7 linked regions of the Coturnix japonica genome follow. The protein of the gene in region 3 interacts with the protein of the main gene of each other region in a biochemical or structural test. Links are inferred from orthologs where the notes say so. Each region holds a gene or a part of one and is shown on either strand. Other genes may lie near its edges.

Region 1 (4,134 bases), on a different chromosome or scaffold from region 3:
TGGTTATGAGCCATAGGCAACCAGAGGAAGGGCTGAGACACCAGCAGAGCTACTGAGACTAAAAGACATCCAAGGCTGAGGGACTTGGGTCTCAAGGTCCAGAGCACAGATCCCACAAGGCATTCAGGGCATTGCTCAGATCCCTTTGCTACCAGGAATGGATGGGGTGGAACATGCTGGACCAGGAGATGAGCACTCAGCAGGAAACACAGATAAACCACACATCCCCAGGGAGAATGGGAACACCCCCAGCAGGGCCTGAAGGGGATGCATGGATCTCTGCTTGTTTGAAGGCAGCAGTGCAGCCCACAGCAGCTTCCCTCTCTCACCTGCTTACAGTCAGAGGCCATGAGGTTGAGGCTGCTGGTGGAGATGGTCAGGGTGATGGGCATGCCGGCGAACTTCAGGTTGCTCTTGCCCAGGATGGAGTTCAGAGAGCGGCCACAGGGCTGGGGGAGAACAGCAGCATTAGGCAACTCATCACCACCACCACTCCATGCTGAGCCATGGGGGCAATCAGAGCCCCTAAGCACTGCTGGCTGGGTTGAGATCCAGCCCTCAAATTGCTCCCATCAGCAGCTTCCCAAGTCCAGCCTCACCTTCCTCCTCCTCACTGCTCCCTTGGCACCAGGTACAGCCTCACACACCAGGCCAATGGCCTCCCTGCATGGAGCAAAGCAAAGCGTCAGCCTGGGGGTCCCTGTTGTCCCCTCCTGCATCAGCACAGGGACAAAGCTCTGCTATCAATGCCATATTTATGGGGCACCGCTGGGCAGAGGACACGAGGAGCAGTGCAGAAGGGACAGGGTTAAGCATGGAACAAAAGGGAAGCCCTCAGGCAGTGCAGGCTGATTCCCAGACCCGGCAGGGACAGGGGAAGAGCGAGCTGTTAATATTTGATGCAGCTGCAGGAGTGCTTCCTGCCTGACCGAGCTCATTGACAGGCTCATCGATCTCCTGGCAGTTTCCTCCATGGCTGCAGACAGCCTGGTTCCACTTCCACACCCACCCTGGGCAGCCCCAAGCCCCCAACACAACCCCAGGGCTCACCTGGTGACCTGAGTCCTTGTGTTGAAATCCAAAGCCCTCATGGACTGAAGGACTTCTACGCAGCCCATGTACTATGGAGGAGAGCAGGGTCAGCATCGGGCTTGGCTCGCTTTGACTCCCCCACCTCCCCATGGCAGCCCATAAGCAAAGAGGGGACAGGTCCCCACACTGTGCTGTTCACCTCCACCCACAACGAGCCCCCCCCCAAAGCCCACTCCCACCCCATAGAGACACCCCAGCACTCACCCTGACATGGTAGGAGACCCCAGGCCCCATGACTTTATCATCTGGGTGCAGCCAGCCCCGCGTGGGCTTATTGACAAAGCTGCCGTGGCGGGTCCATTCATCACCACCCAGCTGGCCGCCTTCCACCCGCGTCCTCTTCGCACAGCTCAGCTTGTTCATATCCTGGGAACAGACAGTGACAGGTCCTACTGAGTTAGTGCTGGCTGTTCCCCCTGGTGTCGGTGTGAGCGTCCCGGTTAGGACGGGTTGCCCTGAGCTCCCAGTATCTTTAAGGCTGCCGGTCGATGAGCCCCGTAGGCTGAGCAGGTTGGCGGGGTTGGAGAGCTTCAGGTTGGCCATTTTAGGGAAGAAAGAGCAGAGGGTGGTGGGGCTGTCCTCAGATTCGGATGAGAGCTCCCCGAGAGGCAGCATGGGGCTGAGGGAGGAGGATGACAGCGAGCCAGGCAGTGACCGAATGCCTTCAAGGGATTCCACAGGGGACACTGGGGTCCCCAAGGCTCCCACAGCCTCCTCCAGGGAGGAGACAGACTCGTTCCGCAGGTGGCTGTATTTGCTCTTCTGCAGGAGATCCATTGTGGAAAGAGGAGAGAAGGGCTGGAGCATGCCCACCCCTCACAGCAACCCCATAGAGCGCCTACAGCCTCCTGGAGTCCTCCCCCATGTACAGGTTAAGGTTGAACTCCATGCCAGGCACCCTCCAGCCCCTCATGGCTCACGAGGAGAACCAGCTCCACGCAGTCCCAGCAGATCGATAGCAACCAGCGTCAGCGATCCGGATAGATGGGCAGCAAGCCCCGCTCCCGGTGCACCCGGTGATGGGGGGGTCTCAGCACACCCAGCACACAGCTGGGAGGTCCTCAAGCCCCACTGCCCCTCTCTGCACCCACGACGAATCCCATTGTCTTCAGCAGGGGCTCAGCATGGCCCCTTTTGCCCCATAAACGAGTCCCAAACCGCTGCCCCTCCGGCTTGCTCTCCAGCCCCTGCTCTCTCCTCCTCGCAAGCGGTTGCCAGCAGCTCAGAGGAAATGAAAAGCATGAATATTTAAAGCCCTGAGACAAGGCAGCCACAGAGCACGGCCGAGCCCTGCCCAGCCTTGCTCAGAGCACGGTCCAGAAGCGAACAAGGTCCTTCTGTAGCAGCCGGTGCTACGCGAGCCACGTGCCGACAGCGAGAAGATGCTGTTGGCTCTCCGGGATCGATGGGGTGGGGAGCGACGCCTGAAGCCAAAGGGGGAACGCGATGCCAGAGGGATGCAGGGATGTCCAGCACAGCTCCAGGATGGTACAGGAGGAGGAGAGCGGCCAAAAGGAGGATACAGGTGGGTGTAAAGAGGGAGAAGCCGGGCTCAGCTGTGGAGCCGCCGGGAGCCGATGATGGTTGTTGCTTCCCGCATCCCGGCTCCTCCCGGAGGGGAAGAAGGGGCTGCCGCTGATCGGAAGGGCTGTGCTGACTCACAGGCGGAGGAGAAGGATCTGCTGTGCTGTGAGGGGATGGGGAAGCAACGCAGGAGGGGCTCAGAGGGAGGGGTGGGGACCCGGCGAGGATCTGGAGCAGAAAAATCAAGGTCACGGGCGGAGCTAGAGGGAGCTGGGGAAAAGCCAGAGCGTGTTGATGGCGCCAGGGTAAATCTCACCCATTTCCAAAGCTAGGAGAAACCCCAGTTTTCTAATGGGGGGCAATGGGGCAAGTCTGCCCCCTCCTCGTTCCTTCCCACCTGATGCAAACCAGCAATGGGGACCTCAGAGATCCCCCTTCAGCCCTTTGGAATAAGCTTTAAGGCCCCTTCTAACCCAAGCTGTTCCATGCTTCTCCTACCCCCCTCCCCCCCAACAAAGGGGGTCTCTGGGCCCCTCTGACCCACCTGCAGGCCAGGGCACCCCCATAGAACCCTACACCGAGCTGAACTCAAGGCAAATCCAGCCCAAGGGAAGGGCTCATCCAGCTCAGCCCCAACAGTGGAACCTCCTGCCCCGCTTCCCAAACGTTGGCATGAAGCCACAGAGACAGGGAAATGGAGGCAGGGAATAGGCTGGAAATAGCTGGGATCCCACACGATGTGGGGGCTCCGATGCCAACGGGTCCCACAGCCCCATCAACCCCCACCTTGGTGCTGCAGGAACAGTCCCACGATGTGCTCTGTTACCCCCCGAGGGCCCCACGGCAGCTCAGTGCCATGACCTTCCCATGGCCAGCAGTAAGATGGATCTGAAGAAAGGCAGGAAACCCGGGGCCGGGGAGCCAGGAAGCAGAGACCCGCCAGCCCTGCTCTGCTGGGCGGCGTTGGGGAGGCTCAAGGCAGCGTGTTTGCCCCCATAGGACCTAATTGGCTTGTACATATGGGGCTGGGGGTCCCACCTGGCACAGCATCCCCTGCATAAAGGCTTGCAGGCATCTGCAAACAGGGGCTGTCTGTTACCTAAGATAAAGGGGCAAGGGGTCTTTTGGACCCCAGCCCAGATGGGAAGCAGGGAGCAGCAATTCCCGGCACACACAGTGCCCCGAGCTGTGCCCGTTTCTCACAGAGCTCTGTTTCTACAAAACAGAATCACTCTTGATTTTATCACAACCTCCTGCATTGAAAGCTGAAGCCAGACAGCTCACACACATCCCCCCCCCAACAGCACTGGCTGGGAATGAGGCACGTCAGCACAACCAGATTCAACTGCCACAGCTCCAGAGCCCACCCCAATAATCACAGCCCCTTACCCAGGGGTCACAGAGCACCAAAGGCAAAGCAAGACGTGCTCAGCCCCATAGATTCGGGTCCTGCAACCCCTAAGCAGCACCCAGCAGCCCCTTGTCTCACCAGACAGGCTGGCACTGCACTCCCAGCCC
Region 2 (3,939 bases), on a different chromosome or scaffold from region 3:
TTCCTTCATCCATGGCTCTGCAGAGGGGCAGAGGCTGCAGACCTCTGCATTTTGCCGGCAGGGAAGCTTCACCCTCCAGAGTGCCCAGCACTGGGCCCAGGAGGGAGAGTTTCCCTCCCCAGATCTCAGCACAGTGTGGGCAGTACGACACCATCCAGCCAAGACCCCCCCAAGTGCCTCCCAAAACTTGGCACAGATGCTCCCTCTCCACCTCCTGCACCCCGTGCAGTGCTCCCCTCTCCTTCAGACTTCCTTATTGTCCTACAGGGCTTCACCTGCTCCCACAATGTGCTGTGCAGGCAAGAGCCTGGCCCTGGGAGAGAGCCACGATGCTCTGACTGCAGGCCTGACCCTGCGGCACACGCGGAGCATCAGCAGGCAGGAAAGCAGAGGACACACAGCATCCCAGTCCATGAGAAGGGAATGAATCACTGAAAACAGAGCCAGGCACGGAGCCAGGAAGGGGAGATGACAGCCCTGCAAGGCCTCCATCCTTCAAAGTGGGGGTTCGTGGTCAGAGCCACATGGCCCAGCACACCCTCTGCTCCACGGTGCTCCCAAAGCCCAGAGTCCCTCTGAGGTCCCTGTGCCGGGACAGGGCTCCGTCTGCCAGCCCTGGAGCTGTCCACCATCCCCACCTGCAGAGAGGATGGGAAACAGCCCCGTGCCTCTTTGGATCCCTGCCCCACTGGAACCCAAGGAGCAAGAAAGCAGACCGTGGCCTGGTTTCTCAGTCCGTGCACCTTCCATCAACTTAGATCCCACAAATCAGAAGATCCTGCCAGGAATGTCACCTTCAGAACCTGCCTCCCGGTGCCCCGGCTGAACCTTCATGCTGCAGGAACCACAAGTTCAGTGTGCTGAGGCTTCCATCTCATCCCCATCACTTAACAAACCACAGCTCTGACAGTTCCCAACCACCAGCTTTTTTATTTATTTTCCTTTTGCATCTGCCATACAGCTCCACTGAGGCAGCACTGCTGACAACCCGCCGCATCCCTCAGCCCGTCGGAAACACAAAAACAAAGCATCAGCTCCGGGAGGGTGTCACGGGCAGAACGACATCCCCTCACTTGTTGTTACATCAGCCCACACGTTAGCGCTTTGGGCCTGATCCAGAAAGCAACGGAGCAGCCTCCATTCCTCTTAAAGTCACATCCCACTGCTCAGAGATGCACAAGTTTGCAACCCTTCCTCCTGAAAAAAAAACAACAAAAAAGCACCATAGCCCTTCTGCTGTGCTTTCACCTCACAAAGAAATCAGAATCTCAATACATTCCTCTCCTCTTGCATTTAACTCCTTATTTCACCAAATCCTCAGTATCCACCGTGGCCCACAGATGAGGTCGGTGCCTCCTGAATTAGCTTTCTGATATGCAGTGCCAGCCCATTATTCTCAGCAACATATTATGGTAGGCCAGGATGCACCTTCTTTGTGGTAACCAAAAAAGAGCCAGGTCCAGCCTTCAAAACACGGGGTCTGCAGTCAGCAATAGCCAAGTACTGCCCCGGGAACACCGATGTGAGAACACAACAACAACAACACCATGCGCATATGTTCATTATGTAGCTAAGCATAACTGGTGTGGCACATCGCCTCTAAGGAGGCAAAGGGCCAATTAACCTGATGAGCAAGCACAGCGTTCTGTCATTGAGCACAGAACCCGGGGACAGGCCCTCGCAGCCCTGCAAGCCACCAAGCGCCAGAGACCGGGGTTTGCAGCAGGCGGCACGGCGTGCCTCGGGAGCTGCAGGTAACAGCCCTGCCCGGCTCTGTGACAAAGGATCCGAGCACCGGAGCCGAACGAAGGGCCGGCCCCGCGTTTCTGTAAGCTCAGATCCCAACCCTGGGAAAATGCAGTCATTGTCTGCGGCCGGTACCCCCACAACACATCGCAGCGCCGGAGGACGGCAGGGAAAGCCAGGCACAAAAGGAGGAACGCTCGCAGGCTCCTCTGTCGAAATCATTTCATAACGGCACTCGGGGAGGTGATGGAGGAGCGCTGCACGGCACCACAAAGCACGGAGCAGGTGCGTTAAAGACGCAAATGGAAACGCGCCGAACGAACAAAAGAAAAACGACTTCGCAAAACGAGACTCTCCTTCCGAAGGAGGCCAAACTTCCCAGTTCACCTGCGAAGGCGGCACCGCCGCAGGCCCGGCTCGGGGCTCGGCCCGGCTCCGCACGGTAACGCGGAGCGAACCGGCCCGAGCAGCGCAGCGGAGCCGCCTCCGCATCCCGGGGCCGGGCCCGGCGACGGCAGCGCGGCTCCCAGCCCGGGCGGGGCCCGTCCCACCGCCCGGCCCCGGCCCCGCCGCCCCCCCGTACCGCAGTCCGCGCAGAGGATCCGCGCCACGTCCCGCTTGAGGTTCTTGCCGCTGGTGTCGAGCGGGGCGAAGGCGGTGCGGAAGACGAGCGGCTCCTCGGTGGGCTCCAGGAAGAAGATGTAGCGGTGGTTGCGCTTCACTTTGAAGCAGGGCGCCTTGGAGCCCACGCTGATGAGCTGCTCCCGCTGCAGCCCGCCGCTGTTCAGGGGCCACAGGTCGAGCACCTTCACCAGGACCCCCCCGGCGGGGCCGGAGCCGCCGCGGCTGTCATTGCCGCCGCCTGCGGGGGGGGCCACGGACTGCACCTTGCCCTCCAGCACCACGGCCGCCGTGTACGCCTGATCCTGCACCGACTTGAGGCTGGGCGAGTAGCAGGCGAGCGAGACGCCGAAGAGCAGCATGGAGAAGCCGGGCGCCGGGTCGCGCCTCATGCCGCCGGCTGCCGCTCGCTCCCGCCGGCCCTGCGGCGGCGGCGGCCGGGCTGCGGGGCTGCGGCGCGGCGGGCGGGCGGGCGCGGCGGGGCGGAGCGGCGCGGCGCGGCGCGACCCTCCTCCCGGCACGGCGCCCCCAGGCCGGAGCGGAGCCGCAGCCGCCGCCGCGACCCCACCGAGCGCCCGCAGCCGCCGGCCGGGAGGATGAGGGGGAGGTGGCCGGCTCCGCTCCGAGCCAGGGAGGTGGGAGCCCGCGCGCGGATGCTGCAGAGGTAACCCCCCTTCTCCCCCCCCCCCCTTCCCGGGATGCTCACGGAGCCCCCCCCGCCCCTCGGGATGCGGCTTCCACCGGGATGCTCCGAATCCCCCCTTCCGCCCCGCGTGCGGCGGATCCTCAGCGCGGGAGGCCCCTTCCAGCCCTCCCCAACGCTCCCGCAGCCGGAACCCACCCCCACGGCGTGCTCCCGCTGCCGGCCTTCGCCCCCTTCTCCCTCTGGATGTGCTGACGCCTTCCCCCTCGCCCTCCCTCCCTGGGATGGGGATGCCCTTTGCGGTTCCCCCGCCCCAGCTGCTCCCGCAGTCCGCAGCCCCCCCGGGATGCTCTCACGGCCGCTGCCCGCTCGCCGGTCAGCACCGCGTGTCGGGGGCGCCGGACAGCGGGACCCCACCTCGATTCCCTGCCCTCGAGTGGGGAGATGCCGGAGAGTCCCCCGGGGATGCCCTCCGCCTGCAGAGGGGACCCCTGCTCTGTGGCCTTCCCGTGCTCCTGCAGGGTCGGGTGGTCCCCGGGGACGCTTCCCGATCAGACACGGAGCGAACCCCCTCCCGAGCCCCCGGACATTCGCAGCCACCCGGACCAGTGTCAACAAAGATGCGCTCATTTGGGGGCTGCTGCAGGTGGCACGGGCTGCCCTGATGCGCAAAGCCCTCTATGCCCGGTGCTTTCCAAGGTGGGACATTTGTGCCTGAGGTTCCCTGCACACCTGAAGAAAAAAGCATTAAAATACCGTCAAATGGAGTAAGGTAATAGCCGAGGAGACAAAGCCTCCTTTCATGCCCTGATCCCTGCTGTCTCTTTTTAATAAACAAGTGCTCTTCCCCTGCAGTGGTTTCCAGGAGTCAGTTTAATCTCCAAAAAGTGGCTTATTTGGGTTTATTTTCAAAGCTGATCCTAAGGAAT
Region 3 (3,500 bases):
TCTTGAATACTCTGTGGCACCACAGGAATGTAAGTAACCTATTTCTTGAGCCTTCCAGCTGCTCATTGCCCTGGTGAAGAGATGTGCACGGAGGGACTCCTGTCGAGGCTTTGCAGACAGCTGGTCCAGAAGGACATTCAGCTAACAGAGTTTTTTCTGCACTTTTGTATTTTGCAACCTGGAGCCTTTTGTTAGAAGGTTATCGCTTGGCTAAATACAGATGAATTTGAATGGCAGTGCAGAAAAGCTTGTTCTTAACTAGGGCTTGTCTTGTCCACCATGTTTACACCTTAGACAAAAGGTGTTAGATTTGAGTTACAAAATGGCCGTGGGAATATTTATATCAACAAATCGAGCCCATTCATGAACACCAAACTGGGCTTTCCACATTCATCGTGAATGTTTTCCCCGATGCAGATACTGAACTTCAACCAAAAGCCTCTCTTTATAAAGGCTCGTCTTAGTGACGTATTGGCAAAAGGCACAAACTGACTGTGGTGCGTCCCATCCCTGTGGTGTGACAACGTGCATCTTTTCTGATTGTACTTAGAGTGTAGCTGTTAGTACCGATACGTTTCTGCAAGAGATTGTAATAAAGCAGGCATCTCTTAAAGAGAAGCATTCTCGCCGTGGTCAGGCTTCTTACCCAAGGATGTGGGATTTTTTCCTCACTTGTCTCAAGTTCAGCCTTTTTTTTTTTTTTTTTTTTAATATCCTGACTTTTTCTCTCCCTGAACTGGGAGGTAAGGGAAACAGAGGGAGGTTTGTGAAACAAATTGGGAAGCACAGTAGTTATGAAGAACAGATCTAGAAATCTGAAATGTACCGTTTTAGCAGTAGAAAAATACGTGATTGTGTTTCTCGGCTTTATTTTCCTTCCCAGAAGATCAGCATTTTCTCATTGAGAAATAGGTCAGTTTTGAGCAGCACGGAGTAATACAAGAGCAACTGGTGTGCCAATGGTATCAGAATAAATGAATGTGTCTTTATGGAGGGATTGCTGTACAACCTCCACAACTCGCCCCTACCCAGCGAGGGAACCTGGCCACCTTCCCCAGGGCAGGCAGGCAAGCAGGCACACAGCTTTTTCACATCAGTGAAACACATCTTTGCAGTTTGGATTCGCTGAGGAAATCTGATGAGCATGTTTCTCCCCATCAGTTCATAGAGCTCATGCAACTTGTTTCACCCTGTGACCTCTAAGTACGTATCCATCATTCCATTTTTCTTTCTCATTAGAGTGAAATTGGACACAGCCCTCCTCCTGCCTACACCCCTATGTCAGGAGTAAGTATTTCACATTCAACCTTCATTCTTTAGGTTTTCCTCCTTCCTTCACTGCTTGTTTTCTGTTTTCCCTCCCTTATTCCTATAATGTCTCAAAACCCAACACTGAATGCAGTTTGTGTATGTATAACTCGGGGATCTCTAAGCTCAGCTTGGATTCATCTCTGAGCTCAAGGGATCCACATGCAAAATCACTGCCGATATTTCTTTGAAAAGTATTTAGGAAACAGGCTTGGATGAATCTGTCCATTTTTCCTTCCCATTTATAGGTCACGATGTCGAAATTTCCTTGCACGCCCTTGCTGAGAAGCAGAATGGTAGGTTGAGTTGAACTGTTGAGGTGTTGGCGAGAGCCTTGCTCACAGCCTGGTGGAGCTGCACAGTGTCTGGGTGGCTTTGTGGTCAGTGCTACCAGACACCCTGTGAGCAGCCCCCCTGGGAGCAAACCAAGTTGACCTAGCATAAGGTTTAAGGGTTTTGTTCAGAAATCACGGGAGGTTTTCTATTAAGAAAAAGAGAAACTGGGTTTGCTTGCCTTTTGCCACTGTGAATCTCCAACTTCCACATCTGCGTAGGAGACAAGTTCTGTACCCCATTTCTAGCCTCATTGCCATCCAGTCTCCCTGCAGCCCTCCCTGCCCTGATGCTCCTCCCAGGGAAGGGACCTGCTCAGCAGCACCGGGCAGGCAGATGCTTTGCTAGACCCTCAGCACTGGAAATGTGGCAGCCTGCAGGATGGATGAGGATTCTCCTGCCCTGTGAAATGCATCATTCAGCAGCTGTGGCGGGAGAGCCAAGGGCATGCCTTGTAGTACAATGTTGCTTCCCTTTAGAGAGCGTTCTTTCTAAGCTGCCTTCTCTTTCTCAACAGAACCAGTTTGTGTACAGAGATGGCGGCTATGCTGCAGAGCAGGGAGTGCCGATGCCATACAGAGCTCCTGGCTGCATCATCCCAGAAGCCCCAGTTGCTCAAGGGGCAACGGCAGAGATCTTTGAAGACACCTGCTGCAACGGCACACTGCGGAAGCAGGTGGCCACGCTGGCAAAGGAGGACAGCAGCACCCAGAGGTACAGCGCTGATCCCACGGTCTTCATACCAGAGCGGGTGATTCGGGGAGAGCTGGATGAGGATGGCTATATGACGCCAATGCGAGACAAACCCAAAACAGGTAACAGTTGGTCCTTCCAGGGAAGTTCCCAGTCACTGCCTTCTCTATTTGTCTACATCGGCAGCTTTACACCTGAAAGGGTTTTATCTGCTAACCCAGCAGGACTGAAATATTCTGACTTGATTAACATTTCTTTGCTGGGGGGGATTCTCTTTTCTTTGCTTAACATTCTACTTAAGAAAGCTGACTGTACTATAATGTCAGGTTTGGTATTTCCCCTTTCATTTTTTGATGCTGGAAGGGAAAAGAGAGAGGAATGAAAAAGACAAAGCAAAAATAAGAAACCAACAAACCCCCCTCATTATCCAAGAACAAATATTTATACTTTTTCCAGTAATCTTTCTTTGTCCAGCCATGGTCTCCACTTGGCTTTGTTTATTGATCTGCTTTATCGTCACAGCATCGTGGTTGGTAAAATGTCAGGTTGAACATACCACAGAACCGATGCACATAGTTGGCATTTTACGCCCAAGAGAAGTTTGGGACGGAAAGAATGCCGTGTGCTTTGGAGGAACCATCACCGTGAGGTGGAGTGTGCCTGTGTTACTGCCAGCTCAGTGCCATGCTTCCCACTTGGCCTTCGTTCTCTCCTTTCTTTTTAAATAGCAGCAGCACTGTTTTGCTGTGAGGGGATGTGTCATTAGTCATTTGCTTTCAAACATTTGCATTGGCTTTAAAGAAATTAATCAAATCAGATGTAAATGCCAAATAACTACTGAGTTTGCTACAGGATTTGGAAGACTGTTAATACGTAGTGGAAACAGAGGGGGTTGTGGGACAAGTGCACTTGTAAGCTAAGGCAGACAGTGTCCCTGCTTATCTTCCCTTCCCATCCTCCTATCTCACTTCCTGTGTACCTTCAAACCTTTCTGCAACTGAACCACATCTTTTTGTGGTGTTAGCCCGCAGCAAATGTTTTGAAGACACCACAACCTGTGCCAACTGTTCTGGAGCTAATGTTAAGACTCTACTGTACCCTTTCCAGGACTCACTTGAATTATTTTTCATAATGCTTCAAGGCCCTTTGCCCTTCAAGGATGGAAG
Region 4 (4,272 bases), on a different chromosome or scaffold from region 3:
TTCTCCTCTGCCTCACAGAGGTGTCTCACAGTCAGGGAGCTGGTGAGTCCGGATGTACCTGGGCTACATCCTTGGCCAATTACTCCACAGTGTATCAGTACCAGAACTGCCCAGCAGGCGTCTCTCCAACACAAGAGAGACCACAGGCTTTATTCCCTGCTTACAGAATAATTGCTCACTGCACTCACTCTTTCCAGTGGAACAACAGAAGCATTCAGCAATCAATATCTCAGCATACAGCCCATGGCCACTCTGCAACTCAGGGGCTCACCCACCTTTGGTGATGCTGAGCGTGTTGTCACCGCTTGCTACAAAATCATAAAGTGCAACAAAGAGGTTGGGGTCGCTCTCAGTGGCTCCCAGCAGGTTCTCCTTGGAGCTCCACCTGATGGCTTCGTTCAGCGCCTGGGGTTCAACATCGCAACCATAGGGACGGTGCAGGGCCTCTGAAGGAAGAAAAGAAGAGGAAGTTACAGCTAAAACCCGGCACATGGCACAGCAGGGCTCCCACTGCACAACGTGTAGGAGAAATAAAAGATGCTCTTTTGATGTGAAGTAGTGAAGAAAAGCTTTTAAAGTCTGCCACGTTACGTTTTCAACCTTTGTTTCCGTGGCTGAAGGCCAGATGGCAAATTTTGGATTTGAAAGCAGTGTTAGGAATAGAGGTAAAACAGATTGAATTATGATAATAGTCACCGAGTCAGCATTAGTAGGAATGGAGGTGATTTGTGACACGTTTCAAGACTACAAAACTAAAGAAGTGGTAAACTGGCAGGGATTGAGGATTAAGTTAAGGAGGGAAGTAATGCTTCTGAAAGCACAGCTGAGGGATGTTCCTGTCCCACCACGTGCTCCCAGTGCCTCTCATTGAATCTGCTCATGAAACCAACCCAAAACAGACGTGGCCTGTTGCTGAGGGTCTGAGGAGTCACATGCAGGATGGATTGTTGCAAACTGCTGCAGGACAACACACACACACACACACCAACCCCACCAGGCTCCCACACTGAGCGAGAGCCAGTCTGTGTAGCACATGGGGAGAACAAAGGGCTTGAGAGCAACACAGGCGGGAGAGCTGGGAAGTCAGAGAGACAGAACAGGAAGAGGCCTATGCCAAATAACAGGCAAACACGTGCTGAATCTGTGCCACGTGATGGAGCTGGAGCCTGGAAAGCTTCAGTGTAGGGGGTTTCCCAGAACCCATGTTCCATTTTTTTTTAAGCTTTGTTATACGTACATGGGAAAGGAAATGACTGAGGTTGGTTTGTTTGCTCTCAAACACACAGCTAAGTGGCTTTTGCCTTCATTTCTGGTAATCCCACTGCTCAAATAACTGCTTTCCCAGCCATGCCAAAGTGGCAGCCTATCGAGGTTCCTTCAGCAAGAGAAGTGACGGAGACACAGCCACCAAAGCATGGCTTCATTCTCTGCAGATGCAGTATTTCTATGCTTCATGTTCTTAACTATCACCTGCAGTTACCAACATCCCAGCCTGTCACATAAAGAGTAATAATGGCTGCTGCTTTCTAGGGCTGGGTTTGTGCACATGCACGTGCAGCTATTATGCATCAGGAACAGCTCAAGTGGCAACAGAAAAGACCAGTGGTTCCCAAATCTGAGCATCCAGTCCCTAATAACCTACGGTGCTCAATACGAGTGGGACCCATGCCATCCTACGTACAAGGATAAGAAAGCAGAGTTCAATACGGTAATCACAGAGCTCAGTAAGGAAGCTGAGACAAATCACACCACAAAGGAAACACCTCACACTGAACAAGCTGTGAGCTCCGGTCACACCAAGGGCGAGGAAGTGAACTGGGAAGTTCTCTCTGACATCAACCCAAAGCATAACCACAAATCACGTTATTGCTTTCATTTCCTATACAATTGAAAACTTACATCATCGTTTAGTCTACAAGTGAGGTTATGCTTCAGCCACCTCCTTCCTCTCTATTCCCACAGCACACTTTGCTTCCCTCCGGACATGAACGCTTTCCTATTCAGCCACCACGTCAGGACTTTCTGCCTCCCCCCCCTCGTGCCACTGAGGCTCCAATAATGGATCTCTTCAGTTCAAGAGCAGCACGAGAGCCCAGCACACACCTCACCTTCAACAGCAGAACCGCACCAGGTGCTGATGCTCGATTGTACCAACAGCATTTTGCTAATCCTGAATAAAAGCTGGCAATCTCAGTCCTGCTCCCACACAAGACAAAGAGCTGAGAGGACCCACACCCTCCTTTAGACCAACAGGGCAGTACAGGAATAGAGCTGTAGTCTCCCTACCTGTGAAGCTCGACCCAGCAGGCTCAGAGCCATCATTGCCAAGGCAGCAGAGCAGCTTGTTGTCTCTGCCATAGCTGCTGGGCTGGAACAGGACCGTGCCCACAATCATGCCGTGCTGCACAGCCAGCAGGAGGCCAAATAACTGCAGCAAGAAGTGCTGGGTCCGCACGTGGAGGTCAATGGGAAAGCAAGGCAGCCTATGGGGCGGAGGAGGAGCAAGGGGCTGCAGTGTTTGGTTAGGAAGGGTGGAGCTTCCCAAAGAGCTCTGAACAAACCAGGGATGGGGAGGAGGGATGGAATGCGAGTGAAGCGATTTTGACGTGAGCAGCAGGAGGAAAACAAACCGTTTCCTTGGAGAAATTCCTTTGTGCCAATTGCCAAACAGATCCTGCATTAAGGGGACCGCCCCATTGATTCATTCTCCCACTCCACATCCAGAGCAGCGGGGCCATTCACATGAACTACGTGGAAGTGATACAAGTGAAAATACTAAGCCTAGCAGATGTATGAGCACTGAAAGAGAAAACGCTGTTGAACGTTGCAGAGAGAAACAGAAAGCAGAGGCAACACAGCATGCCCAGGCTGAGCTGCATAGCTGCACACATAGGAAGGTTCAGGTCAGCCCTCTGACAGGGCAGCACCAAACTACCTGTCACAAACCAGATCTGCCCTCAGGAGCCCCAGCAGTCCATAGGGCTGCCAGCACAACAGGTTCTTTCTAATGCAGAGGAGGAAGGGTTAAAGAAGAAGCAATCACTGTGGCAGTCCCACACCTGGTGGGCCTGCAGAAGGGTATGAAAGGCAACAGGGGAAGGGCAGCAAGTGCTTTGGCCTCTTGTAAAGGGGGGGAAGCTGCTGCAGCTCACCAGCCAAGAGCAGCATTTCTACAGGCAGCAGCTCTGAGGGGAAGGCAGCTGCTTCGTGTGATGAGGGCACGGCTCAGACTGAAGGTAAGAAATGAGCAGTCGGGCTTGTTAGAAGTGTATGTGTTTTGTGTAAGGCTGTGGGTGTGAGAAGTCACTACAGAAAGGATGTAGGCTGTGCAAAGAGTTACTTCCCCCTTTGTGAGCTGTATCATGAGCTTTTCCCTTCTCCACCACCTCTAATGCATGTGGAAATCACAGCCAGACAGAATACATTAGCACACCTACATAGTGTTGGCTTCCAAAGGTTCTCCTGACAACCAAGGGAAATCCTTTCTCCTCCAAAACAAAGCTCTTGGATCCTGCTGCATGTTACCCAGCAGCTAAAGGTTGAGCTGCCTTTACCTCTGAACCCCCAGGGCACCATTTTCCTGTTTGATCTTCCTTTTGCAGTTTGTTTTTTCTCTCTTGTGTGCTCCAAATGATCTTTATTACACTGGTGTGTGAAATAGTGCATTTATTAACACACAAAGAATTGCAGAGCAAATAACTGCAGTGAATAAGCTTTTCAGGTGGGTCTGAAATGGTCTTTGGAAATGGCAGGCTATGTATTAATTTACTGCTCGGTGAGGATCGGCAGCAATAGTTTAACAAGTGAAATAGTTGTTAGCCTGGTCGTTAAAATAGGACAGATGTCTAAGTGGTACCTCTGGAACAAGGAAGGATTAGGAGGAAATGAATCTGAGTTACAAGCACAGCATGGAAATGCAGGCACTGAGTCTGTAGCCTCTCTGAGCTGTGATGGCCAGCAGGTCTGTAGGTGAGCTCAGGGCAGGGCACCAGCATCCCTGCACAGCAGGTGGGTTTGTAAAGGCCTGGTATGTGCACTCAGGCAGAATGAAACCAGGCTTCTTTCTAACTTCGGGATAAGCATCATTTCCTTCACACTGATGTTGCTGGGTAGTTATTCTAGCGTGTAGGCCGTCACTTTGACATCTGCATCCACAGCAAACATCCTGTTCCTATTCCCCTCACAGTAAGTGCGCAATGTAAGACACGAATTCTGGTGCACTCAACTTGTTTGACAGAAGCAGCAACCTTTCAGGCAGAGCAGCTCTTCCAG
Region 5 (3,500 bases), on a different chromosome or scaffold from region 3:
GGACATGCTCAGAGTGTTTGTCTCTCTAGTCTCCTAATGAAATGAAAAAACATACATAGTTGTGCATGTGCTGTGAGTAGGGATAAGCTTAAAAGTGTGTTTACCTATTGCAGCTCGTGTTTCTTATTACACAGACAGAATTCACTCACTCAGGTTTCATCATACCTGTGGTCATGTTATGCCACATCCTGTCATGTCAGACATCTCCTCTTCAGCTAATCTAGGCTTCTCCAAAGCCTATGAAGAAGGAAAGGCTTCTCCACAAGATACATTACCCATTCTGAGATTTGTGTCAAGGATGTGGTCAACCCATAGGCATAGACGACCCTTCACTGCTGAGCTGATGTCAGTGTATTGACCAGCCTTTTATCAACACTGGGTGCAAAGTCCTTTTCAACCCAGGCTAGTTGAAAGAGTATCAGACTACTTTCAAAACATGACCCCTTTTCCTGCTTGTAGACAAGGTATAAATTTATCCTGGTCTGAGAGGTTATACATCATGCTTCGAGGAGCCAGGAGAAAGGAATGTGTTATTCTGAGGAATCAGTACTTCATGCTTGCATTTTGTTGGCACTTAGAGGTCTTAATCTAGATGAGGATCTAGTGAGATATGACCCAGTGGGTGGGTGCAGTGGTTAAAAGCAGGGGGAGCCTGAGTTTTGCAAGAGCTCTTTTTGGAACCCTGTCAGCCTGTTAAACACCCCATACGAACAGGTCATTATAGAAAACATTAAAAGAGACTGGCATACTGGTGATGGATGGCAGAGTAGAGAAAAAGCATGAGAGGCAATGTCTGTACAGACAGACAGGATTTTGATGGAACGATAGGGAGGAATTCAAATATATCAGAAACTCATATCCCATTGAAACAAGATAGCTAAACCATTCAAGAAATGGTGCCAGCCACACTGGCCTGCACTCCCAAGTGCTGAGTTCTAAAAATGCAGTTTCCTTGAAGATAATGGGAAATGCATGAAAAACAAATGTGACAGGGACTACTTCATCCTTATTCTCAGAAATAACTCAACATGTGTAAGTGGTGTTTGCTAATAGCTTATCTACTAAAAGCATGTTTTCTTTGGATTCTGTGTGTGAGGCAAATGGTAGAAAGTCATGCATCATGTAGTATAAACATGCCCCTTGGGTGTTTTTGTGTAGCAATGCTTTGACTATCACACAGCTTTTGTTGTAGGCATTTGCAGCTTTCTAGTCAACTCCAGTGGAATCAGTCAGTAGACGAAACTGACATTTCACCTCAGGGCAGAAGCAGTATTTCATAAATAAATGTACTGGGATTTGCTTAACATTGTGAGAAAAATTCTTAATTTCTTAAGTCTAGACCCAGATAAACAAAGACCATATAGAAATCACCTCCACCTTTAATTGCTGGCAGACAGAGACATCAGTTAGTTTTAGCCATTTAAAAATTAGGGAAAATTCTCAAGGCTAAAGCTTTGCAGTCATTGTGGAGAGACAGACACAATAATAGGGGGTGTTCATCCCACCTGCTGGGAGGATGAGGTGAAGATCTTTCTGTGGGCCATGGAGATAGCCTTACCACTAAATGATGAATCAAGTGAAGTCAGTCAAACCTGAATGATTTGCCACAGATCACATAACCCTTCAGTGGTGTGGCTTCTGATCTGGGAAATGACCAGCATCCATGCTAGAAGTATTCCTACCCCTTTTTGGCAGTATTTAGAGTAAAACATAGGCTGGGCATGGGATACCTCCCTGAGGTGTGCATTTGAACCCTAATTTGTGTTAATCAGCAAAAGATGGTATCAAATACTTTTGGAGACAGTAGATAAGAGAGTTCACTGACATGTCATATCCTCCCTGGACTTTCTTCTTCCCTCACATACAAATACACTTACCAGACAGTAGGAAAGTTTAAGGTGTTTTGATCTGTATTTTCTCTCTCTTCTTTTCCAGCCACTTCCACATCTACAACTGGGACAAGTCATCTCACAAAATGTGACATAAAGCAGAAAGCCTTCTGTGTAAATGGGGGAGAGTGTTACATGGTTAAAGACCTCCCAAATCCTCCACGATACCTATGCAGGTAAGAAATCCTGTTTGCATATTTTGGTGGAGCCATCAGGTTCTATAAATGCTTTTTCTTTAATGGTGCACCTGAAAAATTTCTTCTCTTAGACTTGCAGCATGAGGTATTTATTCATTCTAAGCATCTGGATGTGAGGCATGTGAAAGGCTAACCAAGTAATCTTCCCATGGGTTAAAGGGCACAGAAAGCCTTACTGATGGCATGAACTAGCACAATTTAAGCTGTATGTTAGATATAAAGAAAAGATGCTGTAAACTAAATACACTACAAAGTCAAAAAATGTGTATTGATAACTGCATTGGATAAGTGCTGTTTCTACAGGAAAAAGGTGGTCTGTGTTTACTGTGTGCTTTAATAGCTGAACATTTTCTGACGAGAATGTATTCTCAATTGGAGTTTTCACGTTGTGTTAAGTGCATAAAAAGAAAAGAGCACTATGGCAGTTTGCAGAGGTTACTACTTCATGTGAGGATTTTGATCAAGGAGTTAGGAACATAAGCTGTATGCGCTTGTTCATTTCTTCTCAAGGCCTGGCCTGCACTGTGCAGGCTGATGCTGTGATCCATTTATTTGGAAAGATTCTAGTGAGAAATACAGCGCTGGAGTACACTTCCTGCCTGGTAGCACATCATGTAGTATTTACTTCTGGAGACAAATCAGTCTTAGCAAGTTTCTTCTCTCTGAACTCAGAGAGAAATCAGCATTTAATACCTTAGAGTCTATCAGGACTGACTGGAAAGTGGGCACTTTTGTGAAGATATTGCAGCTTTTCAGACAGACAGGAGACAGCTTTCAGTGGAATCTGTTGTCTGCTGTAACTGCATTGAACTTCAGACATCTATGACTAAAAATCAAATGTCAGTACTTGGAAAGAAGGTTCTGATGGCTGACTTAGCAGAAGGTCTGTGATGCTTTCATTAGGTGAGAAAGGCATAGGTTGCATGGCACTGTTGTTAATTCAAAAAATATTAATAATCCACGATGTTTGCTTCACATGTAAGTTTTGTTTTATAGATTGATGTTTTCTGGACTTTATGAGCTTTGTTTTGTTTTGGGTTTCACAGATTGCACCATTGCTGAAAGTGATGAATATTTCATTGATTTTAGAATTGTTTTTAGCTAAAGTGAATGTGGAACAGTTACTGGCTCTGGCGGGCTGAATAGCAGAGAGAAAAAAAAAGTTGTGTTGATGTACTCTTGATCATGTTACATCAACAGAACAAGATGAGCAGTATGATGTGGCTATTCTGGGTGTGTACCAGATCCTATGTGCTTATTTCTACTTTCTGTCTTAACACTACTCATGAAAATCCAGGGCAGCAGAGCTCAGAAGCTACCAGATTTGCTGCTGATTAGCATTATCTTGACAGTTTCAGAGCTATACAGTTTTCAGTTGTTTGAGAAAGTTTTTTGGTTTGTTGATTTTCCTCCT
Region 6 (3,963 bases), on a different chromosome or scaffold from region 3:
TAATCTTAACTATAAATTCAATCATTATTCCTAAAGAATTATAGCAAACCTTTCCCTGTATAAGATTATAGATAATATTGATCTTTGTTTTGATAATAAATCAGGAGTTTAATTCCATAGAAGCAGATGGTACATCTACAAAGAAAGGGCCCTTCCAAAATAAAACAGCAGGACTGAGAGGATGCGATTTACTATCAGCATATGGCCAATCTGAATGACTTAAATAAGAACGATGAAAACTGACACCATAAAGGAGCTGAATGAGAGAGAAACACGGTTCTATTCAATCAATTTTTTATTGAAAAGTCACACTCCGAGGGTTATGTGGCAAAGGAAAAGCTGTTAAGAACACAGAGTAGGGAGGTACGTGTACATTTTCCACAATACTTGATTTGTTGTGAAGGATTCTCTTTTATGAAGAAAGCTCAGCTCACAGTTATGCCCTGGTTCTGCAAAGACTCCTGTCTCCCTTTTGTCTGAATAAGGTACTGTTAACCAGAGCAAATTAGGGCCTGCACAGCCTTCCCCTCAGCACACACTTGTCAAAGCACTTAAAGACAGACATCACTCCAGCACTTCAGTCACAGGACAATGCTCTGACAGCAAATCCCACTCCTATTAGCATATGTCCATATTGCATATTTAGGACCGAACAGGTGGTCATTTACAATCTGTCACCCCATTTCCTAAAGATACTTCCAAAAAGGACTCTCTCTCTCTGACTAACATAACTGGATCTAATGGAAAAAGCAGTCTGATCTATTTTCAGAGAGAAAACCAGAAGTACAGAATTGTGTGCTCCAGTGATTTGACAACCCTGAAGAAGTAATTTCACATTCGTGTGCCTCTATTTCCCTCCTGATCCTTTGTCAGAACTGCCTGATCATATTTCCAGCTCATTAGTGACGCCAGTCAAACACTGTTCAAACACTGCCTTAAGTTAGCAAACTTCTACAGAAAGTCAAGAAATCAGGAGATTACAGGGAAGACTGTCAAAGCGAGAGACATGAATTTAAAAGGGATTCATATCGGTACATTTTTATGTCCTCCTGATGACTTTAATGATTCCTGAAATCATGGAAATACACGAATGGTGCAGAAGTCTCTTAAGAGTGGTACTGGGAAAGAATGTAACAAAGAACCCAAACTCAGATGGGCTTTCAGGTCGTCCTTCTGATCCACGCCTTGAAACTATCTACCAACCCTCATGGTTTCACACAATCAGACTCCTTAAGGTTGGAAAAGCCCGCTATGAACATCTAGCCCAACTGTTTCAGTACCTTGAAACCTTACATTATCTACTATCCTCAGGAAACTTCAGGAACAACACATTTCTAGACACTACTTGGTGCAACCAATAGAGCTTCTGAAGCAACTCCATTTTTTAAATAGCCAGGCACCCTCCCAGAGAACTGTTTTCTGTACTGAAACGGGGCTTGAGGTGCTACACACAAACCTGCAGACTTCCTATGCTTCAGCCCAAAGGTTGTGCATGGAGTGCTCATTAATTACACAAACTACACACAGCATTATCTGATCCTACATTTTTCACACAATATAAATTGAGAACTGCTCTGCTCAGAGTGCGAAATTCTGTTACCAGCACCACAGGACATCCATTCACCTTAAAACAGAGATAACAGAATGAAATCCAACAGGAGGTTTGCAGGATTTTCACCTCTGCCTCCTGCCTCCATACAGACAAACCAACATCAGCCTCGCTTTAAACTGGCTGAGCAGCAAAGTCAGGCGCTATTCTGTAAGCACAGCCCGCCCACTATTTTAAAGTAGAAGAAGAATTCTACTCATTTCCAACCCGCGTTCCAGAGTGAGCAAACCTCACCCTCCCTACTCCACGAAGGCAAACACGTGCGTGCAACCTTCGTGATATTCCTGTATGAAATAACAAAAAGGCTGGGGTGTTCTTTGTGCTGTTCTTGTTGCTTTTTTTTAAGGTATAAACAACGGAATGCAAAGGGATGACACGAGGAGAGCAGCGCTTTGTACAGCGGGGAGGTCTCCGCCTGTTACAAAGTTAGCGCCGCAGTCCCAGTCTGTCCGGGAGCCGCCCGGGCCTCCCCCCGCCGCACGGACACGCGGCGCTGCGCGGAGCCGCGCTCTTCCTGCGCTCCGGGAGCGGAACCGAGGGGGGTGGGGGGCCGCGGTACTTACTGGTTGGTGGGGGGCGCGTTCAGCGGGATGGCCACCTCCTCCTCCTCGTACTCCGGCCCGTCCAGCGAGTCGCCCTCGTCCACGGCCGCCAGCCCTCCGGCCGGGGGTAGGGGCGGCGGCGGCGGCGGCAGCGGGGGGAAGGCGGCGGAGCCCGGCTCGCTGGGCGGTGGCGGGGCTCCCGTGGAGCCGAGCGCCAGCAGCCCGAGCGCCGAGCACAGAGCCGGGCCGGCGCCCGGGCTGTCCCCGCCGGAGCCGGAGCTGGAGCCGGGCGCGAAGGGGCCCTGCGGCCCCGGTGCTTTGCCTCGGCAGTGCCCCGGCTCGGCGGCGGCCGCCGTCCCGGCCGAGGTAACCGAACCGCCGTCCTCAGCTCCGGCCTCGGCCGCCATCATGTTGAGCCTCGCCCCCCCTCCCGTCCGCCGCTCGCCCTCCCGCCCGCAGCCGCCGCCGCCGCCGCACGCCGGGGAGGTGGCGACAAAGGGGCCCCGGCCCACCCCGCCCCGGCGGGGAGCGGAGCCGGGACGAGGGCAAAACTGTCCCGGCGGAGACGGGCCGCGAACAATACCCGGCTGGGCGGGGGCTGCGCGCTCACGGCGGCTCCGCAGGGCCCCGGCGCGGCTGCCTCGGCCCCGCCGGCCGCCAGGGGAGCGGCTCGGCCGCCCCGCGCTGTGCCCGCCCCCGTGCGCCCGCCAGCCGGGAGGGGGGAAGGACGGAGGCGGTGGGACGGGCCGCGCATGTGCGCCGCTCCCCAGCCTCGTCCCTATGAGCGCGTGCGTGGAGCTGGGCGGGGCAGGAGGGGGAGCGGCCGCACCGCGTGGGGGAGGAAAGTGCGGGGTAGGAGCGGCCCGAGCCGCCATGGTGTGCGGCCAAGGGGCGGCCATGGTGCGCCCTGAGGCTGAGCTGCCTTTGGGAGGGAAAATAGAAGAAAGTATGGGGAGTAAAAGCCAGGAGAGGCGGCAGGTGGCGCGGGGGCACGGCGGGAAGGGACGGCGCGATCGGGGCGTGCTGAGCCCGTGCTTTGTGTGTCCCCGTTATAGCTGCACCGCCGTGTGCTGCGGGAGGAGAACAGCGCATCGCCTGCAGCCGCTGTGTGACCGCACTGCCGCCCGTACTCCATTGCCGGTTACTCCGTTACCGTGCTGATACTTCTCTCATTATCTTCTTTTTTTCTTCTTCTTCTTTTTTTCCCTCCCCCCCCATAATAAAAGAGCTGACAAATAGCAGCACGTTGACACTTGCACGCCTCTCCAAAGTTCTCAGGAGGCATCTAAACATTCAGGTTTTCAAAGCCTTGTGTTACCAAAAGAATTAAGTGAATTTCTCCCCAGGCCACTAAAACAAACTCCTACTCGCGCTTCCACCGCCCTGCAGACAAACCTCCTTTTATCTGCCGAAACGAACCTTCCTATCTTGCCTTCTGAAGGCAGGATCCCATTCCAGGTCCTGCAGCGCTGCGAGTACCCGTGGGACTCTGCTGGGCTCGTGCCCGGTGTCAGAGCAGACGCTGTCTGCGTCCCTGGGCTCACAGAATGGCAGCGCGTTCATGCCCTGCTGTGCTGGTAAAGAAATTACAGTCTCAACAGCCATCTCTTACGGGCTTGGTTTCCACGTTGCCATATTTCAATCGGATATGTAATTCCACGTTGTCTTGCAGCCCACTGGCTCCGTGGGCTTCTGTTTAATGCTGTTTGCTTTCTCCTACGGGTTTTTAAATAAAAGGATTTCAGCACAGTCTTGTTGTTAAAATGATATTCCTAAACATAGAGCTGCAGTGTAAATATTTATGATTGCTTC
Region 7 (4,275 bases), on a different chromosome or scaffold from region 3:
GGCATGAAGAGAAACTACCATTCCCTCTCCAGAAGGCAGGCATAGAATTAGCTCTGGTGACAGCCATTCCACAGCACAAAAACACAAACAAGCTGATGGCCTAAAATCATTAAAAATACTTAATTTGGGAGGCAGTAAAAAGTAAAATAAGCCAAACAATCCTCCCAAGCAAGACTGTAATCCCGGCTTGTCTGCTTCCTCTTCTGAGGTGAGCCCTCACTTCAAAGCTCACCTACAGCACAACAAAGAACAGTTACTGAAATCGACCCAGGCAAGTGCTCTGCTCCAAGACATACCTGCACATTCACGCTCCTTAGCTGTGAGGGCTCAAAGGAGTTCCTCCACTTACACACAGAATGACAGAAATTAGAACATTAAATGAACACAACTGGACTGCCAAACAGAAAGGCTTAACAACGAGCAGCATCAGTGACAGCGCACCCAGAAGCTCCAGCATTGCGCTCCCCTCCTGCTTTAACCCCACTGACATCTTTTCCTTTATTTTTTAGGACAAACTGTATTGCTTTTGCTGCAATACAGAAAGCATTTTAACAGGGTTGAGTATGTTTACTACTTTGTTTATATATCTCTCGCATTTACAGATGTTTCTGTAGACTCTGTCACTGACTGATACCGATAATGCCATTAAATTATCTAACTCCTGCAGATGCAAACATTTTTTCAGCCTCACTTAACACTGTTTTCAAGCAGCCCTAATGCAAGTTTTCTTAGAAACAATGAGAAACAAAGCCTCCAAGAGAAGCACCTCGCTGCTCTAATACCTGCCCTCCCACCTGCTGCTCAGCTCTGCAGTTCACTCTCACAAGCTGTTTTGAAACGTCCAACCAAAGAAACCAAACAACTCTGTATTTCAGGAAATGGCTCATCACACACACACATAAAACACCCTTAACTTTACAACAGGAACAAAAATAGAGTGAAGAAAACGAGGCGATGTCTGTTAACTTATAAATTCATACGAATAATCTCTCGATCTCTCTTAAGACCCAAAATAACTGTTTAATCTGTAAGAAGCTTTCAAAGTTAGCACTCAGAAGTCTCAGTTATTTTCCACTGCAACGTCACCTCTTACACATACGGCATCAGTTCTTTGTTTTAATACAAGAAAACTCACTCCAGGTTAGAATGCCGCATATTGCTCTGATGATCACTTGGAGGTGAACGTATCCAGAGCAGTGATTAAAGCTGTCAGTCAAACCACAACTAAGAACGCACAGTAGACCAAGTTCGGATTCAAATGGCTGTAGCAAAGAGTAATATAACTGTAATTAAATTAGAACTGCTTTGGACTTTCACTAGAAGAAGAAAGAATTAAAATTTGTTCTTCAAACAAGATGTCTGAAAGGCAATAAAACCCACTGAGCTAATGACAGATTGCAGCCGATGTTTCATTCTTCTTTATGCATAACTTGTTCGGGTCAATTCAAGCAGTAGCTGGACCAACTGCCAGCCAACTGGCTCTCGATACTAATTGTCTTCTCAGGAATCCCAGTTCACATTTCTCCTCCTTCCTCTGCCAAAAGGATGAGGGTAAAGGGGCAGAGATTAAAACAAAGAGCAATGAGGAACACTGAGAAAAAGAATGTTTCACAAAGAGAACTGTTTGTGATCCTTTCTATCCTACCTGAGCTATAAAGATTAACTTCTCTGGGAACATCTTCCGAAGCTTCAAGGGTAAAGAATGCCACGCAAATGACAACAGATGGCCCAACTGCTACACTCGGTTTTCTCTCCCCACATACATAGATGCTAAGCTTGTTTATCAGTTTAACATCACAGATTACACCTATCGCAACAAGCTGAACTCCTGGATTTCAGAGCCAATCTAATAAAGGCGTTCACACCCTCAGACGGCACCTTCCACTCGTGCTTGGTTGTTATTGCCACACAAGGTCACAGACCCCTGTGAGGAAGCAGGAGAGTTAACAGCCAGAACTCGGCCGTGTTTCCAAAATAAAGCGGCGGCAACAGCAAGAGGGAACACACACCTCCAACCACACTCGTGCTGGGAAACGCTGCTTCATGGCACAGCTGTTATCCCACAGGAACAAAGCAAAGAACTCCACACAGCAGCCTCCCCCGGCCGAGACCCCGAGAGACAGACAGGACGGGGCTGAATACAAAGGGAAGGGGCCGTGTTGCGGAACTGCCGCTGAGAAGCAGCGCCTGGGCCGGGAGCGATCCCGGAGCGCCGAAAGGGCCAAGTGACCGGTCCCGGCTCCCGGGAGCCCGGGCAGGATGGCGGAGGCCGAGCGGGGCGGCGACACGCGCTGCCGGGGAACAGCGGGGCCGGGGGATGTGGGCTCGTGCAGGAGCCGTGCAGCCCCACACACAGGCCAGAGGTCCCGGGACCGCCGCCGCAGGCACGGAGCGATACCGCCGGCTGCGGCCGGGCCCCCGGCTCGGCCCGGCGGGGAGGGGACAGCGCGGCGCGCCGAGGCCGCTCGGTGAAGCTCCGTGGGGCCGGAGCCCCTCAGGCGGCCGGGCCTACAACCGCGGGGTCCCCGCGCCCCCCGCCCAGAGCCGAGGAGATCGGCGGAGCCGCAGCGCTGCCCCTGGAGCTCCCATCCCCGCCGCCACCCCCCGCCTCCTCGTCCTCCTCCTCGTCCTCGTCCTCCTCCTCCCTCCTGCCCTGCCCGTGCTGCAGAGCCCGCTCCCCTCACCGCGCACGGCGCCGTTCAGCTCCTCCGTCCCTCGGCCAAGATGGCAGCCGCTCCGACCCAACCCGAGGCAGCGACTTTCCAAAGTCGGGCGCAATCTGCGCACGCGCGGAGTCGCCGGAGCCGCCACGGGGTGGAGGTGACTACAACTCCCAGCGTGCGCCGCGCCATGCTCCGCGCATGCTCAGTGCGCCCCGCGGTGTCGCCCGGCGGGGTGGGTTGTCGGGTGCGCGGCCGAAGTGATCGGCGGGTCACACACAGCGACGGACACAGGGCAGCTCACACAGCACAACTAAGGCAGCATCTCTGCAGGTGAAGCCCAGGCCAGCACGCAGCTCTGGCTGCTTTCCCCAGCAGGACAGCACCCAGCGCCCTGTTTGCATCACATCTGCTAAGGCAGATGTGGATTAATGACATTCAGTATCACTTTTCAGATACACCATGTAAATTCTCTGTTATCAATATTTTTCCTCCATTTGTAACTTGCACTGGGGCTAAAAATGTTTTTTCAGCATCAACAACCCTAATCTCTTTTTCTATTTTCCAGCTTTTGATGCTTCAAGTCAAGTTCCACCAGTGTTACCTGTAACATCCATAAAGAATGCATTCCGGGTGCACACACCACTGATGATTTTCTGCTTCCAGGACAAGATGAATGTTGTGAAATCATCCCATTCAAACTCTTTCAGAATTTTCCCTGTTACAAATCACAGCCTTTATATGAGCTGCTACACCAACACCGAATAATGACTTAACACCAGACTGAGGTAGCAAATGCAGATGAATTTAATTCAGTGGCAGAAGCGACCCCAGCACCTCCTCCACCAAACTGTGTTCCAAGCACTTGCCCCCAGTGTGTCCTGTTGAATTGGGGCTGCTCCCTTCCAGAGGCAGATCTTGGACCATTTATCTTTGTTGAGTTTCTTGAGATTTTATCCACATTCATTTTGGACTTCACTGTGTCGACAACAAAAAGGCAGTCCTGGTACTGAAGGGACCATGGTGACCATGGAAGCAATTCTGATGGTGTGAACAATTACCTGTTCTGGGCTAGACACAGCCCCAAGCAAATATCATACAGTGACTGTTGAGTAGTCATCAGATGTCATCAATTTCGATTAGCTGCTAAGCTACTTTAAATCTTTAATAACGGCTTAACACTTCTGCCTGCCTTAAGGTTTTGTGCAGCTGCTGATTTAGAGGTGTACGAATATTTCATTTTCACAGCATTTTCTTTATGACTGCATTTCAAAGTACTTTGTAAACATCTATAGAGCAAGTCTTCTTAAAAACAAGTCTCCTGGAATTTGTTTTAACTGGATCATTGCTGCAGAGAATGAGTTATAATTTAAGATCAAACTTATTTTGAAATTATCATCTTTAAGAAGAGATTATTTTTCGTGCTGCCTTATAATCAGTTGTTTTCACTTGTGAACATAGACATAGTGTGGTGGTAGAGCGTGCATACTTCTAACCACCTTTAAAATCAGTATTGATTTCTTTGGTTGGGGATTTAGGAAAATATCAGTAGGAAAATATCAATTAATTCCTGCTAACTGAACAAAACCTTCAAGGTTGGCAAGACATTGTTATT

What was found.
Region 1: the proteins of ERBB4 (region 3) and SHC1 form a complex in vitro, tested with the Homo sapiens proteins (2 studies listed by BioGRID and IntAct, with this or other methods). The link is inferred for Coturnix japonica from reciprocal best matches to the Homo sapiens genes ERBB4 and SHC1.
Region 2: the proteins of ERBB4 (region 3) and NRG2 form a complex in vitro, tested with the Homo sapiens proteins (2 studies listed by BioGRID). The link is inferred for Coturnix japonica from reciprocal best matches to the Homo sapiens genes ERBB4 and NRG2.
Region 4: the proteins of ERBB4 (region 3) and ABL2 form a complex in vitro, tested with the Homo sapiens proteins (2 studies listed by BioGRID and IntAct, with this or other methods). The link is inferred for Coturnix japonica from reciprocal best matches to the Homo sapiens genes ERBB4 and ABL2.
Region 5: the proteins of ERBB4 (region 3) and NRG1 form a complex in vitro, tested with the Homo sapiens proteins (2 studies listed by BioGRID and IntAct, with this or other methods). The link is inferred for Coturnix japonica from reciprocal best matches to the Homo sapiens genes ERBB4 and NRG1.
Region 6: the proteins of ERBB4 (region 3) and RASA1 form a complex in vitro, tested with the Homo sapiens proteins (2 studies listed by BioGRID and IntAct, with this or other methods). The link is inferred for Coturnix japonica from reciprocal best matches to the Homo sapiens genes ERBB4 and RASA1.
Region 7: the proteins of ERBB4 (region 3) and ITCH form a complex in vitro, tested with the Homo sapiens proteins (2 studies listed by BioGRID, with this or other methods). The link is inferred for Coturnix japonica from reciprocal best matches to the Homo sapiens genes ERBB4 and ITCH.

Annotation. Positions count from the first base shown.
Region 1 is NC_029540.1:1,434,224-1,438,357, reverse strand, and holds the start of SHC1 (SHC-transforming protein 1), read right to left. Parts: upstream 2,801-4,134; 5' UTR 1,900-2,800; coding exon 1,297-1,899; intron 1,122-1,296; coding exon 1,051-1,121; intron 664-1,050; coding exon 600-663; intron 450-599; coding exon 330-449; intron 1-329. UniProt on the Homo sapiens protein: Signaling adapter that couples activated growth factor receptors to signaling pathways. Participates in a signaling cascade initiated by activated KIT and KITLG/SCF.
Region 2 is NC_029528.1:15,467,754-15,471,692, forward strand, and holds the start of NRG2 (pro-neuregulin-2, membrane-bound isoform), read right to left. Parts: upstream 2,801-3,939; 5' UTR 2,760-2,800; coding exon 2,330-2,759; intron 1-2,329. UniProt on the Homo sapiens protein: Direct ligand for ERBB3 and ERBB4 tyrosine kinase receptors. Concomitantly recruits ERBB1 and ERBB2 coreceptors, resulting in ligand-stimulated tyrosine phosphorylation and activation of the ERBB receptors.
Region 3 is NC_029522.1:7,035,430-7,038,929, reverse strand, and holds part of ERBB4 (receptor tyrosine-protein kinase erbB-4), read left to right. Parts: intron 1-1,239; coding exon 1,240-1,287; intron 1,288-1,556; coding exon 1,557-1,604; intron 1,605-2,158; coding exon 2,159-2,456; intron 2,457-3,500. UniProt on the Homo sapiens protein: Tyrosine-protein kinase that plays an essential role as cell surface receptor for neuregulins and EGF family members and regulates development of the heart, the central nervous system and the mammary gland, gene transcription, cell proliferation, differentiation, migration and apoptosis.
Region 4 is NC_029523.1:5,537,685-5,541,956, forward strand, and holds the start of ABL2 (tyrosine-protein kinase ABL2), read right to left. Parts: upstream 2,801-4,272; 5' UTR 2,681-2,800; coding exon 2,287-2,680; intron 447-2,286; coding exon 276-446; intron 1-275. UniProt on the Homo sapiens protein: Non-receptor tyrosine-protein kinase that plays an ABL1-overlapping role in key processes linked to cell growth and survival such as cytoskeleton remodeling in response to extracellular stimuli, cell motility and adhesion and receptor endocytosis.
Region 5 is NC_029547.1:47,881,143-47,884,642, reverse strand, and holds part of NRG1 (pro-neuregulin-1, membrane-bound isoform), read left to right. Parts: intron 1-1,935; coding exon 1,936-2,065; intron 2,066-3,500. UniProt on the Homo sapiens protein: Direct ligand for ERBB3 and ERBB4 tyrosine kinase receptors. Concomitantly recruits ERBB1 and ERBB2 coreceptors, resulting in ligand-stimulated tyrosine phosphorylation and activation of the ERBB receptors.
Region 6 is NC_029547.1:54,365,730-54,369,692, forward strand, and holds the start of RASA1 (ras GTPase-activating protein 1), read right to left. Parts: upstream 2,801-3,963; 5' UTR 2,562-2,800; coding exon 2,173-2,561; intron 1-2,172. UniProt on the Homo sapiens protein: Inhibitory regulator of the Ras-cyclic AMP pathway. Stimulates the GTPase of normal but not oncogenic Ras p21; this stimulation may be further increased in the presence of NCK1.
Region 7 is NC_029535.1:1,379,526-1,383,800, forward strand, and holds the start of ITCH (E3 ubiquitin-protein ligase Itchy homolog), read right to left. Parts: upstream 2,801-4,275; 5' UTR 2,685-2,800; intron 1-2,684. UniProt on the Homo sapiens protein: Acts as an Acts as an E3 ubiquitin-protein ligase which accepts ubiquitin from an E2 ubiquitin-conjugating enzyme in the form of a thioester and then directly transfers the ubiquitin to targeted substrates.